Alligator mississippiensis: one gene and its partner. The protein of the gene in region 2 interacts with the protein of the main gene of each other region in a pairwise test. Links are inferred from orthologs where the notes say so. Each region holds a gene or a part of one and is shown on either strand. Other genes may lie near its edges.

Region 1 (7,106 bases), on a different chromosome or scaffold from region 2:
GCTCTAGCACATTGCACAAGTGAGGTTACCCATATACATGCTTCCATAAACTGGGCTTTTAGACCTTTCCCCAACTAAGCCCCCACCCCATTCTGCAAACAGATCCCAATGACTGAAAAGCCCTTTAAGTCAGGGAGCCATCTTTCTACCCCACAGCCACTGACCTCGATATGAGATCATGACCTAGCCGCCTTAGCCGCCTTGTCAGCCCTGACCATACCAGCACATCCCAAAACCATGGAGAGTTGGATCTATTTTTGCATAGTGAAATACCTTTAAAAAAAAAATCAATTTGTCTGGCCTACTAACAAATATACCCAGGGATTTTCCCTTAAAAGAATGTTAATATTCGTTGTGTGCCAACAATGTACCAAAAAAAAAAAAAAAAAAAAAATCAAGAAATTATGGCTTTGTCCATAAGGCACATTTTAAAATAGGCGATATTATTTATTCAGATGCAAATACATGGCTGCTCAATTTCACCATTGTTTCCTGCCACTCCATTTCCTCTATTTAAAAATCAACATCAAACATTTTCTATTTGCATTGCTTAAACCAGCAATGATTTTCTCTTGTCACACTACTTTTTATATCCTCTTTGCCCTTCACCCCATAATATTTCAGCTTTCCACTTCAAGTAAGTTTTTCTTTCACTATGTGAACATTATCTAATCCTAGGTCAGGTTTAAAAAACTGAATCAGGAATTGCTCTCCTTGGGCATTTCAGAAGCAAAATGAAACCCAATTAGGAATTCTTTTTAAAATGTGCTTACTTCCCCAAAGGCAAAGAACAGAGAGCTGTGAGATAGCTGGGATTAGTATCTGTAAAGTGCTTTGAAGACAGCAAGCCTTATGCAAGTGCTAAGTATTATCCTTATTAACATCAGACCATCCTAAATCTGAAAAGTCTTCAGGCTGGATTGAAAGTTTGCTGCCAACTAAAAAAAGGGAGAGAACAAGCTGAAAAAATATTTTAGGAGCAGTAAACATAGCAACATTTGCTCTGCAGCAAACTGCAGCCAATATCAAGGAGTACTGAATTCACTTTGCTTGTCAGGATACATTTTCCATGCAGCAATACACCCTTCAAAGTTATCCAAAAGGTGCCAAAGTTGAGGCATTTTCTCCCTTGCAAAAAGTATTTCCCTCCATTGGACCGTTATTTTAGCAATCAATGAAAATCAACTGATGACCCCTCCCTGTGGGCTTCCTCCTTCACAAGGGAGAAAGGACTAAGAAAGCAGGAGGATTCGTTTTCAGCCAGTTTACTTTTCTAGTTTGGAGAGAGGGAGGGAAGGAAAGGGGGCAGGGTAGGATAAGAGAAAGGAGGGGCAAGAGAAGCAGGTTTCTTGAGAGACAGTGCTGACCACAGCTGCAGGAGCCCTAGTTCCCACTAACCTAAGATTAAAGAGAGAAACCTACCTACCCTGGCCCTCTTTATACCTCCTGGTAAAGAGAGAATTGTGTGCCCAGTCTGACTGAGCAGAGTTTCAGAAAGGCAGGACTAAGAAACAAATATAGTTTTGCCTCCCTGGGCTGCATTGCCCAGGGGAGGACCCCAACTCACAGCTGGCTGCACTATGCAGTCATCACAGAAGTCAGAGGTGGAATGAGGGCTTCCAATTCCCCCCCCACAACCTTGTCACCATCACCCTCAGCAGCAGGCACCTCCCGCTCTGCCTAACAGGGTGTTCCCTGCCCTCAACATCAACAGCTCATCACCCACATCAGCACAAGTGGCACAGCTGGGAACCAGGCACTCACAAAGCTCTCTCCAGGACTGTTCATACAAGGGGGCGTTGGGGAAAACAGTGATGGGAATGCAGTTGAAGAGCAGGGGAAAAGCATAACAGACAGACAAGAGTATATTTGACCAGGGTCACTGGAAGATGAATATGGACAGATGAACAACGTTTTTGGAAGTGGGGAGAAAAAGAGAGTGTGGTGTGTCTGGATGGCTAGGGGGATATGTGGACACACAGGGTGGTATTTCAGGATGTGGATACGGTATGCTGAGGTGGAATGGAGGCTTGCTAGAGGGACAGGCAGCTGGGTGCAGAGGGACACCAGTGCAACCAAGAGAGAGGAGGTACCTAGGAGGAGCAAGTTCTTTACTTGAGGAACACAATGGGAGGAGTTGTTTTGGAGGCTCTGTCTGGCCTGAAAGTGGGGTAAAGAAGGACCTAATGGACACCATGGGGGTGTATGAACCAGAGTCTCAGGAGCACACTGAGTGGCGCGTATCTACAGGTTGTGAAGGACAAGTATGTTATTGGGGCAATCTATGGGAACTGCAAGCTGTACTTAGGGAGAAGTGAACAGGTACAGCTAAAGGCTTCATCTTACCCAGCTGGGGGCTGTCACTGGCCAGCTATGGGAGTTCACTGGAGACTGCAAGCCATGTGGGTGCATCTAAGAAAGGGGAGGGGTGGGGCTAGAAGTTTATCTGTGAGGTTGAAGGGATGCAGGTCCCCAAGCCTGGGGCATCAGGGGGTGCTTATTAGGTGCCTGGATTTGGGATGCCCACGGCAGCCTCAGCGCAGCTGAGCTGCAGCAGTGGGTGTCAAGCTCGGGGTGCCCATGGAGGAAGCGCTCAGGGGAGGGTTTATCCAGCAGCCAGGCTCGGGGCACCGCCTGGGATGCGGCCGGGGGGCGTGCGCGGCGCGGGCCGGGGCGGGGCGCAGAGGAGCTGGGGCGCGGGGCACAGGCAGGGCCGGGGGAGGCCGCGCCGGATGGAGGCAAGGAGGGCGCGGGCCGGGGCCGGGGCCGGGGCCTCACCGAGCAGCAGCAGCTTGACCTCGCGGGCCGCCTTCTCGCCGTCCTCCCGCAGGTTCTTGTCGATCATCTTGGACCGCTCGGCGGCCGCTTTGTCCTCGGCGCTCACGGTGCAGCCCATGGCGCCGCAAGGCTGGGCTGGGCTGGGCTGGGCCCCGGCCCGGGCGTGCGGCAGCGGGGGCGGTCAGCGGCGCGGCGCAGCCCGAGCCTCCGGCTGCCGGCGGGGTCTGAGCCGCTCGCTGCCGGGCGGGCGGGGCGGGGCGGGCGGCGCCCGAAACTCCTGAGTCAGCGCCGGGCCCCGCCCGTGGGCGGCCCCAGGCCCGGAGCCGCCCCCCGCCGCCGCCGCGCTCCCGCCACCCGTCCCGCGTGCCGAGCCGGGGGTAGGCCCGCCCGCAGCCGTGCCCCGAGGACAGGGGGCAGCTGGGGCCGGGGTCGCAGCAGCCCGACGGGGCTCCCCCGAGCGGCGGGGAAGCGCCGGCTCCCTGGGCCCAGACCCACGAGGCGGCCTGGGCCGTGGTGCGCGGCGGGGGCAGGGAGCAGAAAGCAAAGCAGGGGGTCGGGCGGGGGCCGAGCACTCGCACAGCGTGTGGGGCCCAGGTCGCCTGCCAGCAAGGTTGGCCCCAAACATCAGTCTTTGGCAGCTGTGCCACAAGGTCAGCCCGGTGCCCTCCGCGAGTGTCACATCCACTCCCTCCCCTGTCCTCCCACTCCCTGTGCCAGCTGCTGCTCTGCTCCCTGCTCTACCGCGTGTCACACACGTAGGCTGCCCATGACACTTGTGGCACATGCCACAGGTTGGCTGCCAGGATCTAGTCAATCAAGACATTCATCAGGGCAGATCACATGCCCTGTCAGCGACACCCTTCACACTTCTTACCTATTAAAAAGGTGCAGGTGCTGTATTCCTGATGCAAACCAAAGATGCAGCTCTGTTCACTTGGCGTAGACCCTAGATAATGCCTTAAATAGGGAAGCAACATAAGCACATGCAGAAGCCAATGATTAGAACGGTTCTAGCATCTCCACTGATGCCATGGCTGGGTTACAACAAGCAGGATTTGGAAACCTGTGAATGGGCAGTCACTTTTCAAACATCAGCGCATAACCAGAATCCAAGTTCTGCCTATTTCAGACACTAGACCTATCCATTCAATGGCAACGTACAGCTAGATCTGGCAGCAAGCATGACAGAAGAACCTTAGATCTGCTTTATACAAAGCTTTGTGTTAATGTAGCTATTTCATATAGGGGTTAGCTTTTCCTGAAATAGCTATAACAGTACAGGCCCTAGTATTGACAGAGGTTTGTTCTTATAAAAGGTGCTTAATACCCCCCACCCCATTCTTCTATAGCCTCCTCCTGCTCCTTCCTCCCCTAGCCGCAGAGGCTACCCAGCCTGGCTCCAGGCTATCTGTTGTCTCCATTTCCCCTCCATTCCAGAGGCCAACTACATAGCCATATTCTCCACATCTGTACAGCCTCTCCGTTTTCCCAGCCCTGAACAGACTCACTACCATGCCCAGGAATTCTTTCCAAGCAATCTTATTTTCCAATGTAAAATTTAAAGATGACAAACCATTCCCCTGCTCACTATAGCTGCAGTTTCTAGAGGTCTGGCATTGCTTTAACTGCAAGAGCCCAGCTCCCATTATGTAGCCTTTTAAATGAAAGGCAAGGATTTTGGGGGGTGATCTCTTTTATTAGACTAACCGTATAGTTGAGATAAAGCTAGAGAAGCTTTTGAATGCTTTGCTTTCTTAAGTTTGTTTAATTTTATCCCGGCTATGTGGTTAATCCAATAAAAGATATTATCCCCCAAAAATCCTTTTCTCTTGCATAATTCCTGGACCATCATGCTAACAGTACTATAGTCCTTTAAAGTCATTACGTGAATCCCCTCACCCCACACATGAACATATAGCTCCTTTGCAGGTGGATCTGATAGCTGAACTACACTGGGTCCCTGGAACCAAACATTATCTTGTTATACATATACATAGGAAGGTATGTTCCATCACTTTTATACCAGTTCACCAGTGTCCATACTTGAAGGGATTGTATCATTTTAATTGTACCAATGTTGCTAGAGATGCAACTTTCTAATATAGACTAAATTTAAGAAAGAAAATCAATGTCTTGTCTGGCCAGTCTGAGCACATCTCAGATGCAGTCATCAGACATGCTATCAAAACTGAGCCCACCATACTAGCCAATCAATGAAATTTTTTTGGTGAAGGAAAATACTTGATACCTTTAAAATATTACAACATACTGATTACACCAGCCCCTAGAAGGCATTTGGGCTAAACTGCAAGTCAACAAGAAATCCAGACCAGTTAGATTTTCCTTCTAAGATTCATTTGCTTCTGCTCATCATAGAAGCATAATTTTTCTGTATGAAATGTCAGTGTCATATATGTATAGTGAACCCCAAACACAGAAAGTAAGGCTCAAAAGAAAAGTGTTGTCAAGGGTCCATCAAATTGAGGCCCAAGAGAGAATTTTCATACATGCTTTGTTTATTTGTTAACAGTCTCAGTTTCAGATTTCCCACACCAGTGCCCCTACAGTTTTGATTGCTGGGCAGAACAAACAATTCATTTATTATTATCATCATCATCATCATCATCATTATTATTACTGTTGTTGTTATTACCATACCACATAAGAATCTTTCATGGACCATGTTCCCACTGTCAGGCACCGTAAAACACACAGAATATAAAACTTTTCCCCAAAGAGCTTACAATCTAAGTCCAAGACAAAAAATGACTATAAGCCTGCAGTTGGAGAGTACAAAGTGACAATGACAGGTAGTCATCTCAGCATATCAGCAGCCAGTCAATAGTGGGACTCCCTTTTCTAGCCTGGGACCCCCAACTGCTCTACCTTTGAGAAGCATCTTTCCCATTTAGCTATACAGGAAACCCTTGCTATTCGTGGGTTCGGCATTCACGGTTTCTAATATTCACAAGTGCTGAACCCACATTTAAATACACTTTATACACTTACTGGAGCTCCTCAGGTACTCTGCGCTTGCTGCCGCTGGGCTCCTGCCGCCACTGCTGTGCCCCCCCATCGCCACCGGGAACACTGCGTTCATGAACACAGTGCCTTATTCGCAGATTTCGCCATTAGCGGGGGATGAGAGAACATATCCCCTACAAATGGCGAGGGTTGCCTGTATACTATAGAGTAAGGTGGTTTTAACTCTTTTTACCCTGTCTGTGATCCCAGTCTGAGAACCCATGCTTGTCACTGCTTGCCAAGAGAAGCCAATTATTTTTTTGCCCAGTCTTCTGTTAGAAACTAGGATACTCACAGACAGTATACTTCCAACTTTTTTTTATTGTTTAAAATTGTTCAGTAGCCAAGTCTTGTAAGCAATTATTTGCCTATATTATCAGTTTATTATAAGAATTCAATATTTCAAGCTGCACTGGTTGATTTGGATGGGACACATAACATAACTCATGTGATATTGTTTCTATTCCCAAACTGGATGAGTAGTTCTCGTAGAATTTGCAAATAACCTGCCACAGTCATTGAAAATTCACTGTTTGCATCATCCTTCCTGCCAAGAAATTCATGTGCTAGAGTATACAGGGAATGCAAATGAACACACACGCGCGCACACACAAGCATGATCATAGGGAAAGCAAATTCTAGTCCCCGTGCTGCCCCCCTGCACTTGCAAGCCCTGGGGTAAGGAGTCTCCATATTACATGCCACCCTGGAGACTGGGCTATGGGACACCTGTAGGTTGCTGCTCTAAACCTCCTAGGGTCACTGTTAATATATGCTCAGACTGTTGTGATCTCTAGCCAGCCCAGAATCCGGACAGTACAAAGATAAAGCCACCTTGGTTCCCCGTTCCCATTGGTTCCTAAGAGGTGCATCTCAGGAGCAAACCCCAGGCATCTGACCAGAGGCCCATCTGAAAGTCCCTTCTTGGTGATCACAGGTAGGCCAAGAAATGAGTGAGGCTTCCTTTCCCTCTGCTCCTAGTTGGTTTCATGAGATCAGCCTCACTTCACTGGTATGTGCTTAGTACCTTTCCACCCTCTAGTGGTGGAAAGCCAAAGTCAATTTGGTCACTAGCTAGCAGAACAGCAGGGACTTTCATTTTAGCAGAAGGAACAGGGAGCAGGCCAGAGAGCTATACACCTAGACCTGCCCTGTTGATGGTGATTTGTGAAGGGTGTTCAGCTTGTTTGTTCAGGTGGATGTGCTAAGCTCTGGAAGAGGGAGTCTGGCTGGTGACTTTGCTATTTTACTCTCCGTGTCCCAGAAATAAGGCCAGAAAGCTGAGGTGATTCCTGGTGCTCATT
Region 2 (7,084 bases):
TTCACAGCCAGAAATGCCCTTCTCCAAAGTGCAGGCTTCCTGCGAAGCAGAGCCTGCAGGACGATGATTTGAACTGGAGGAAGATGTGTTTCTGGAGGAACCTAGCTGGATGTGTCCCAAAGCTGGGGGGTGGACTTGATGGTCTATTCAGGTCCCTTCGGACCCTAACATCTAACAACATCTATGAATCAAAGAGCCCAGTGACAGGGGCCTGGTCCAGGCCGCTACAGCCTTGGGATCTCCTTCCTACAACTCAGGCTGCTCTCCAGACACGGTGGCAGTAATCAGCTTGCAAGACTTCTTGGAGAAGAGCAGTTAGCAGTGCTAACTGTGGCAGGCAGGCTGGCGTCTCTAGGAAATCTGGGTTCGAGGCAGCCAGCCCGGGTTTCAAGGGTCCTAGTGCGTGCATGGAGCTAACACACACGCACAAACTCACAGGGCCAGCGTGATGGCCTGACACGGACTGGCAGAAGACCTGATGCTAAAACAAGCTGTCACCCCTTTGGAGTGAAGTGCCAGGCACAGACAAAACCCTGCTGGAGAGTGCTTCACCCCTAGGAAAACCACCCGAGTGACAGACCGATAATCACCCAACAGGTAACCCAGAGGAGAAGGCTTAGACAAGACTCAGAGCTATTACGGGTGCATCATTTTTTATCCTAACGTGTACCTCCAACCCGGAAGTGCACTGAGCAATAACGCACACTGAGCAATAGCACGCACTAATGGTTATCCGAAATGTGCACTGAGCAATAACGCGCACTGAGCAATACCACGCACTAATTTTTATCCGAAACGTGCACTGAGCAATAACGCGCACTGAGCAATACCACGCACTAATTTTTATCCGAAACGTGCACTGAGCAATAACGCGCACTGAGCAATACCACGCACTAATGTTTTATCCGAAAAATGCACTGAGCAATAACGCGCGCCTCCAAACTGGATCTTTTTTTCAGCTCATGCTAAGGTGGGAGGTGGCTGAGTTGGTTCAAGATATGTCAGGCCTCAGGTCTCCTGGGAACAGGCCTCTGACAGCTGTAGTGAGATTGCAAAGATCCCTATAAGTTCAGTCTGCTCAGAGCTGGCTTCTGGGTTTAACCTCACCCGCTTCCCACACCCCGGAACATTTAGGCAATTTTCACCCAATGTTACCACCTCCTCCTCGCCCCTGTCTTGAGCCACTGTCTGTTGCATCATGAGATGAGCTCTTTTCCTTCCTAGCCACCCTCCCCCCGGCCCCCGGATACTACCCAGTATGCTTTTTAAACTGAAAAGGCAGTTATTCACACAAAGCATTTCAATAACTGGCTTTAAAAATGTTGCCTCAAAGCCTCTTGAAAGTTGCAAATGAATAGGCAAAAGCCAATAAGCAAGTGAAGGGAAATGCTAATGAATATTGTGGGGCAGGGGTTCCCCCTGGACCGTGCAGGGATCCAGCAAGGGGTGAGTGATGCCGGACCCCGGCAGAAACAGGTAGCAATGGTGACCAGAAGAAAACTCGGGGACCGTCTCTTATGTTTTATTTTGGGCCTTCGTACAGAATCAACCCCTCTGCCAATAAGTTAACAAACACCACACGCTGCTGGGGTTTTTGAGATGCTCGTGGTTGTACGTATTGATTCTGTGTCACAAGAGCCTGCGAGGACAAAAAAAACCCCAAGCAGGAAGGGAAAGGAATAGCTTGTGACCCCTCAGCAAATGCTTGTGGCCTGAGCTTTGAGGATTTTACCTTCTTGACAGCCAACCTGCACCACGAGAAGGCTCGAAAGGGCCATGGCAGGTTGGCGTGGAGCTTGCTCTCTCCCCCGGGAGAGGGGAGGCTGGGATTGGGGTGGGTGCACGCACCCAAGTCAGCTCCGAAACCTGCCAGAAACCTCGCTCTCTTCTAGGAGACACCGGCTGTTGTTTCAAAACCCTCCCTCTCGAAGGTGGTTTTTAAAGAGGCTGTTTTGCCACCGAACGCCGCGGGTCTCAGCAACCTCCGGTTCTCCGCCCAGTCCTGCCGGATAAGCGTGCCCGAGACAGACGCGAGGTACCGCAGCTCACCGTCCCACGCGAGAGCGGAGGCGTCGTGAGATGCCACGCGGGGACGGACAGGCACGTGTCGCCCGGCACTCGGGGGCGACAGGGACGTGGCCTACCCCCTCGCCTCTGCTTCCCGACATCCGCAGGCCGTGCCCCGGGCTCCAGCAACACGGGACCCCCACCCACGACGCCTTTTATTCTGCATTGGCGCGGAGTTATTTCCTGGAGGGTGACGGCGGGGAGCGACCCCGGTAGCGCAAGCTGGGGGAGCCCTCCCGTGCGCTCCCCGAAGCCAGGCCAAGCCGCCTGGCCCCGCGGCTGTCGGACGGGGCGAGGGTCACCGGGATGGGGACGGGGCTCCGGAGGAGCCGGGGAATCCCTCCCACTCGCCCGACGCGTTTTGTCTGGCGTCTGAAATCAGGCCGTGGCGCCGTGCCAAGCCTGGGGAGCTTCCTCAGGGAGCCTCGGCGTCCCCCCCAGGTGCATCCCCAGGGGATGCTCCGGGACGGGCCAGCTCCCAGCGGGGTGGGCACGCCAGGCGGGGACCCCAGGAGTCCTGGCACGCCACGGTCGAGACAAAAGGCCAGTCCGGGCCCCCTGAGCGCGGCGCTGCCGGAGCTGGCACCCCCGCGCCCGCCGGCAAGGATGCCCCGGACCCCGCCTGCTGCGCCCGGGCACCCCCGTGCCATGCAGCCCCCCATGCACCCCTTGCCACCCAGTGCCCCCGGGCTTGGGGGGGGCTCCGCTCTCTCCCCGGTGCTCCGCTGCCTGCCCCCGCCAACGGGGCTCGCCCGCAGCCCGGGGCATCCTCCCCGGGGGATGCCCGGCTGCAAGGGGACCCCCCCGGCCGGCTGCCGCCTGCTCGCCACTCACGATCCGTGCATCCGAGTTGCGACCCCCGCGGCGGGCTCCGGGCCCCAGGCTCCGCCGGCTCCGCTCCGGCTCCGGCTCCGGCTCCGGCACCCCGGGAGGGAGAGCGAGCGAGCAGGGGCGGCGCTGCGCACGCGTCCCCCGGCCCCTGCGCCTCCCTGCCCCGAGCCGCTGCGGCGGCCGCCGCGCTCCGACAGCCCCGCGCTCCCACCGCACCGCGCCCTGCACCGCGCCCTGCACCGCGCCGCGCACCCCGCACCGCGAGCGGCACAGCCCGGCTCCCCACCCCGCCCCACGGCTCTACACTGTGTCCAGGGCTTGGGTGGATCGGGCTCCTAAAAAGCCTGGCTGCTTGCTGCATGCGCTCAGCACTTCTCCAGGGTTTGGGTGTATCAAGGTTCCGGAGGAAAAGCCGGGCTACCCACCCCATGGGCTTAGAAATTCTCCAGGGTTTGGGTGTATTGGCTCCTAAAATGCCTGGCTACTTGCTGCATGGGCTTAGCACTTCTCCAGGGTTTGGGTGTATGAAGGTCCTGGAGGAAAAGCCGGGCTACCCACCCCATGGGCTTAGAAATTCTCCAGGGTTTGGGTGTGTTAAAGTCCTGGAGGAAGAGCTGGGCTACCCACTCCATGGGCTTAGACAACGTCCAGGGTTTGTGTGTATTGGGCTCCTAAAAAGCCTGGCTACTTGCTGCATGGGCTTAGCAATTTTCCAGGGTTTGGGTGTATGAAGGTCCTGGAGGAAAAGCCTGGCTACCCACCCCATGGGCTTAGAAATTGTCCAGGGTTTGGGTGTGTTAAAGTCCTGGAGGAAGAGCTGGGCTACCCACTCCATGGGCTTAGACAACATCCAGGGTTTGTGTGTATTGGGCTCCTAAAAAGCCTGTCTACTTGCTGCATGGGCTTAGAAATTCTCCAGGGTTTGGGTGTATGAAGGTCCTGGAAGAAAAGCCAGGCTACCCACCCCATGGGCTTAACAATTTTCCAGGGTTTGGGTGTATTAAGGCCCTGGAGGAAAAGCCTGGCTACCCACCCCATGGGCTTAGAAATTGTCCAGGGTTTGGGTGTGTTAAAGTCCTGGAGGAAGAGCTGGGCTACCCACTCCATGGGCTTAGACAACATCCAGGGTTTGTGTGTATTGGGCTCCTAAAAAGCCTGTCTACTTGCTGCATGGGCTTAGAAATTCTCCAGGGTTTGGGTGTATGAAGGTCCTGGAAGAAAAGCCAGGCTACCCACCCCATGGGCTTAACAATTTTCCAGGGTTTGGGTGTATTAAGGCCCTGGAGGAAAAGCCTGGCTACCCACCCCATGGGCTTAGAAATTGTCCAGGGTTTGGGTGTATTAAGGTCCTGGAGGAAGATCCGGGCTACCCACCCTGCGGGCGTAGCAATTTGCCAGGGTTTAGGTGTCAAGCTGTTGCCCCCGTGGAGCCCAACACACGCACGCCCTCTGTTTTACTTTGGACACACACACCAGCTAGGCTAGAGAGTGTTTCTTCCCCCTTTGGGCACACGCGAGAGTGTGTCTTCCTGCAGGACCCTGTTCCACAATGGATGGCGCGGCTCTCTTGACTCGCAGAGGTGAAAGATGAGGCCTCGGCCATATAAACTTTCCCTCAAATCTGTAAAGCCGTCTCTGTTTCAGCAAGGCAGATGTCAGTCTTGTCCCTTCCCCCCACCGCAATTCAATCAGGACTCAAGTCCCTGGATTTGCTTTAGGATTTAATTTAGCTGGAAGGTCTGAAATGTCTGGAGGCTCCTTCAACATCTCCAGGAAATGTCTGTTATCTCCTCCAGAGCCCCGGGGGCTGTGCTTTGCTGCTCCGGGTAACCCCAATCAGATGCATTGCTCCAAATATTGCTAAAAAAGACTGCAGACCGTTGTTGTTTTATTTCTTTTTAAACCATCTCCTTTCAAAAAAAGAAAGAGCAAGATGCAGGCCGGGGCATTTGCTTCCAGATGACACACCAAGTAGCACTATGGATGAATAACTCTCCGCTCAATCTGCCCCCTGCATGCCACAGACAGCTTGTCCTTATTATCTCCTTCTTTAAACATCTATATAGTTTGCAGGAGGAGACACATCTTTGTAGCAATTACAAATGCCACGTTGAATAACCAGGAGGCCTGATCTGATTTGGCTTTGATGTTTTGCCAGGCCCTTTCCCCACGCCCTCCACCCCCCCATAAAAAGCCCTGGCCCATTTGGACAGCTGGTAGTAACTTCTGGGAAAAGCCAAACTTAATCTCACCGGTGCTCTGGAAAAGAATCGAGGAGGGACGTGACGATCTTGCTGCCTGTAAACGGTTTTATTACATTTGAGCCATGCTTCACGACTCCAGGAATGATCGGTGGCATCTCTGCAGTGATCACTGGACTGTTTAGAAACAGGCCACCTTAAGCATAGTTTAATACTGATTTTGCACGACTCCTTGGTAAACCTTGAAAACAAATCCCGAACCCTTTCATCCCTCTTTTATCCAAATCTCCCAACTTCCCTGTTTAGTCTCCATCTTTCTCTCCACTTAAAAAGCATGAAGGAGTTTGGAGATCCCCGCACGCGATTGGTAATGTTTGCTGGGAATTTACATTTTATTAAATGCATGCCATTGGCACGGTCCTGGTTTAGGTTCCCTGCTTATTTGGAGCAGAGCAGGACTCGGCCATAGCTGTGCTGTCCAGTTGCTCAGTGCATCCGGCTGAACAGGGGTTGATATGAGGAACTGCACAGTAACTGAAACCCATCCATCCTCCCATCCCATCCCCCACCACATATTAATTACTGATGGAGAAGGCATCACCTGGTCGCATTGCCTTGGCTTGCAATATTGACTGCATCCGGCAGGTGTCACCCAACTCCACCACTAGAAGAGTCTTGCTTTTCTCGGCCTCTTGTAAGAGGCTGAACCTTGAGGGCGGTTGCTTGTCCCATGGTCATCCATGGTTCCTAGCCCCTACGCATGGTCCTGGGCATGGCGGGCTTCCCTGCTGTGCCTTCCCTGGTGAAATGGGTATTGGTTGTAGCCGTGCCGGTCTAAGCACATAGGCAGACAAGGTTCTTTGGGTGAATACATCCCATATCTTGTACCGGACCAACCAAAATGTTAGTTGATCTAATAAATGAGATCGGATTTACCCAAAGGACCTTGTTGCCCTGGTGGAATGCAATCGTGGGACGCAAATGTCCCCATGTCCTCTAGCAACGCCGGATGGTTTCTGCCCACGTGCCACGTTTTGGAGACCGCCGCAACAACAGGAATTGACAACGGCGTTATCACCTGCACCAACCGGGATTGAACTGAATTCCCGGGTCCCTGAGTGGAGCCAGCAGCTGCCAAGGTGTAAACACTAATATGCTTAAACCAGAGTCCAAATCAGCCTTGCTATGCTCTTGACATAGGTTGCTCCTGGTGTTGTTTGGCTTCGACCCTCTTGCGGGCAGGGCCTGATGCCATCCAAGCCCCTGGCTAGGGAAAGGCCGTGGCTTTCCAGGAATGCCTGGGGAAAGTTGACTGATGACCAGGGCTATTGTGTGGGGATCCCAGAGGTGTCTGGGGCCACGGATAGAGCCTGATCGAACAGCGCTGAGAGAGTCATTGTGTGGCATCATGGATGACTTGGATTTAGCATCATGTGGCTTTCTTGACTTCATGGCTCATTATCACCTCCTTGATTCCTCCTAATCTCTCTCCACTCCACGGGTGGGAATGACCCCGTCTCCTTTTTAATGGTCTTGGTGTTTCATTTTGCCAACTAGCCTTTCTTCTGCAATTTGGCTGTCTGTTGGCCATTCCTGGTAACGTCTCTCTTATTTCACAGCCCTGCGGATTGTTTTTAGCTCTGGCTAAAAACCTTAACTCAGGGGTGGTCATATTCACTCAGGTGTAGAAATGACTGACGGTTAATTATGGAGGCACTATCCACATGCTCAAAACGGCTAGATTTTGCTTTATGAACCTGAAGAAGAGATGTACATCTAACCATAATGACTACAGGACTAATGAGGAAATATCTCTTGAAACTGGTAGTTTGACTATTTTTTGCCTAATTTGTGGCATTTAAAAAAAACCAAAAAACCTTCAAACTAGCAAATGAATGCACATACCAATCATTATATTTGTTTTTTGCTTTATAAAGGGAATAATGTAGTACTAGCCCCCCGGCATATCAGTAAACTGTGTAGTT

Evidence for each region.
Region 1: the proteins of RGS19 (region 2) and GNAI2 interact in a two-hybrid assay, tested with the Homo sapiens proteins (2 studies listed by BioGRID and IntAct). The link is inferred for Alligator mississippiensis from reciprocal best matches to the Homo sapiens genes RGS19 and GNAI2.

Annotation. Positions count from the first base shown.
Region 1 is NC_081835.1:43,290,966-43,298,071, forward strand, and holds the start of GNAI2 (guanine nucleotide-binding protein G(i) subunit alpha-2), read right to left. Parts: upstream 3,016-7,106; 5' UTR 2,897-3,015; coding exon 2,779-2,896; intron 1-2,778. UniProt on the Homo sapiens protein: Guanine nucleotide-binding proteins (G proteins) are involved as modulators or transducers in various transmembrane signaling systems.
Region 2 is NC_081832.1:3,067,325-3,074,408, forward strand, and holds the start of RGS19 (regulator of G-protein signaling 19), read right to left. Parts: upstream 3,022-7,084; 5' UTR 2,902-3,021; intron 1-2,901. UniProt on the Homo sapiens protein: Inhibits signal transduction by increasing the GTPase activity of G protein alpha subunits thereby driving them into their inactive GDP-bound form. Binds to G-alpha subfamily 1 members, with the order G(i)a3 > G(i)a1 > G(o)a >> G(z)a/G(i)a2.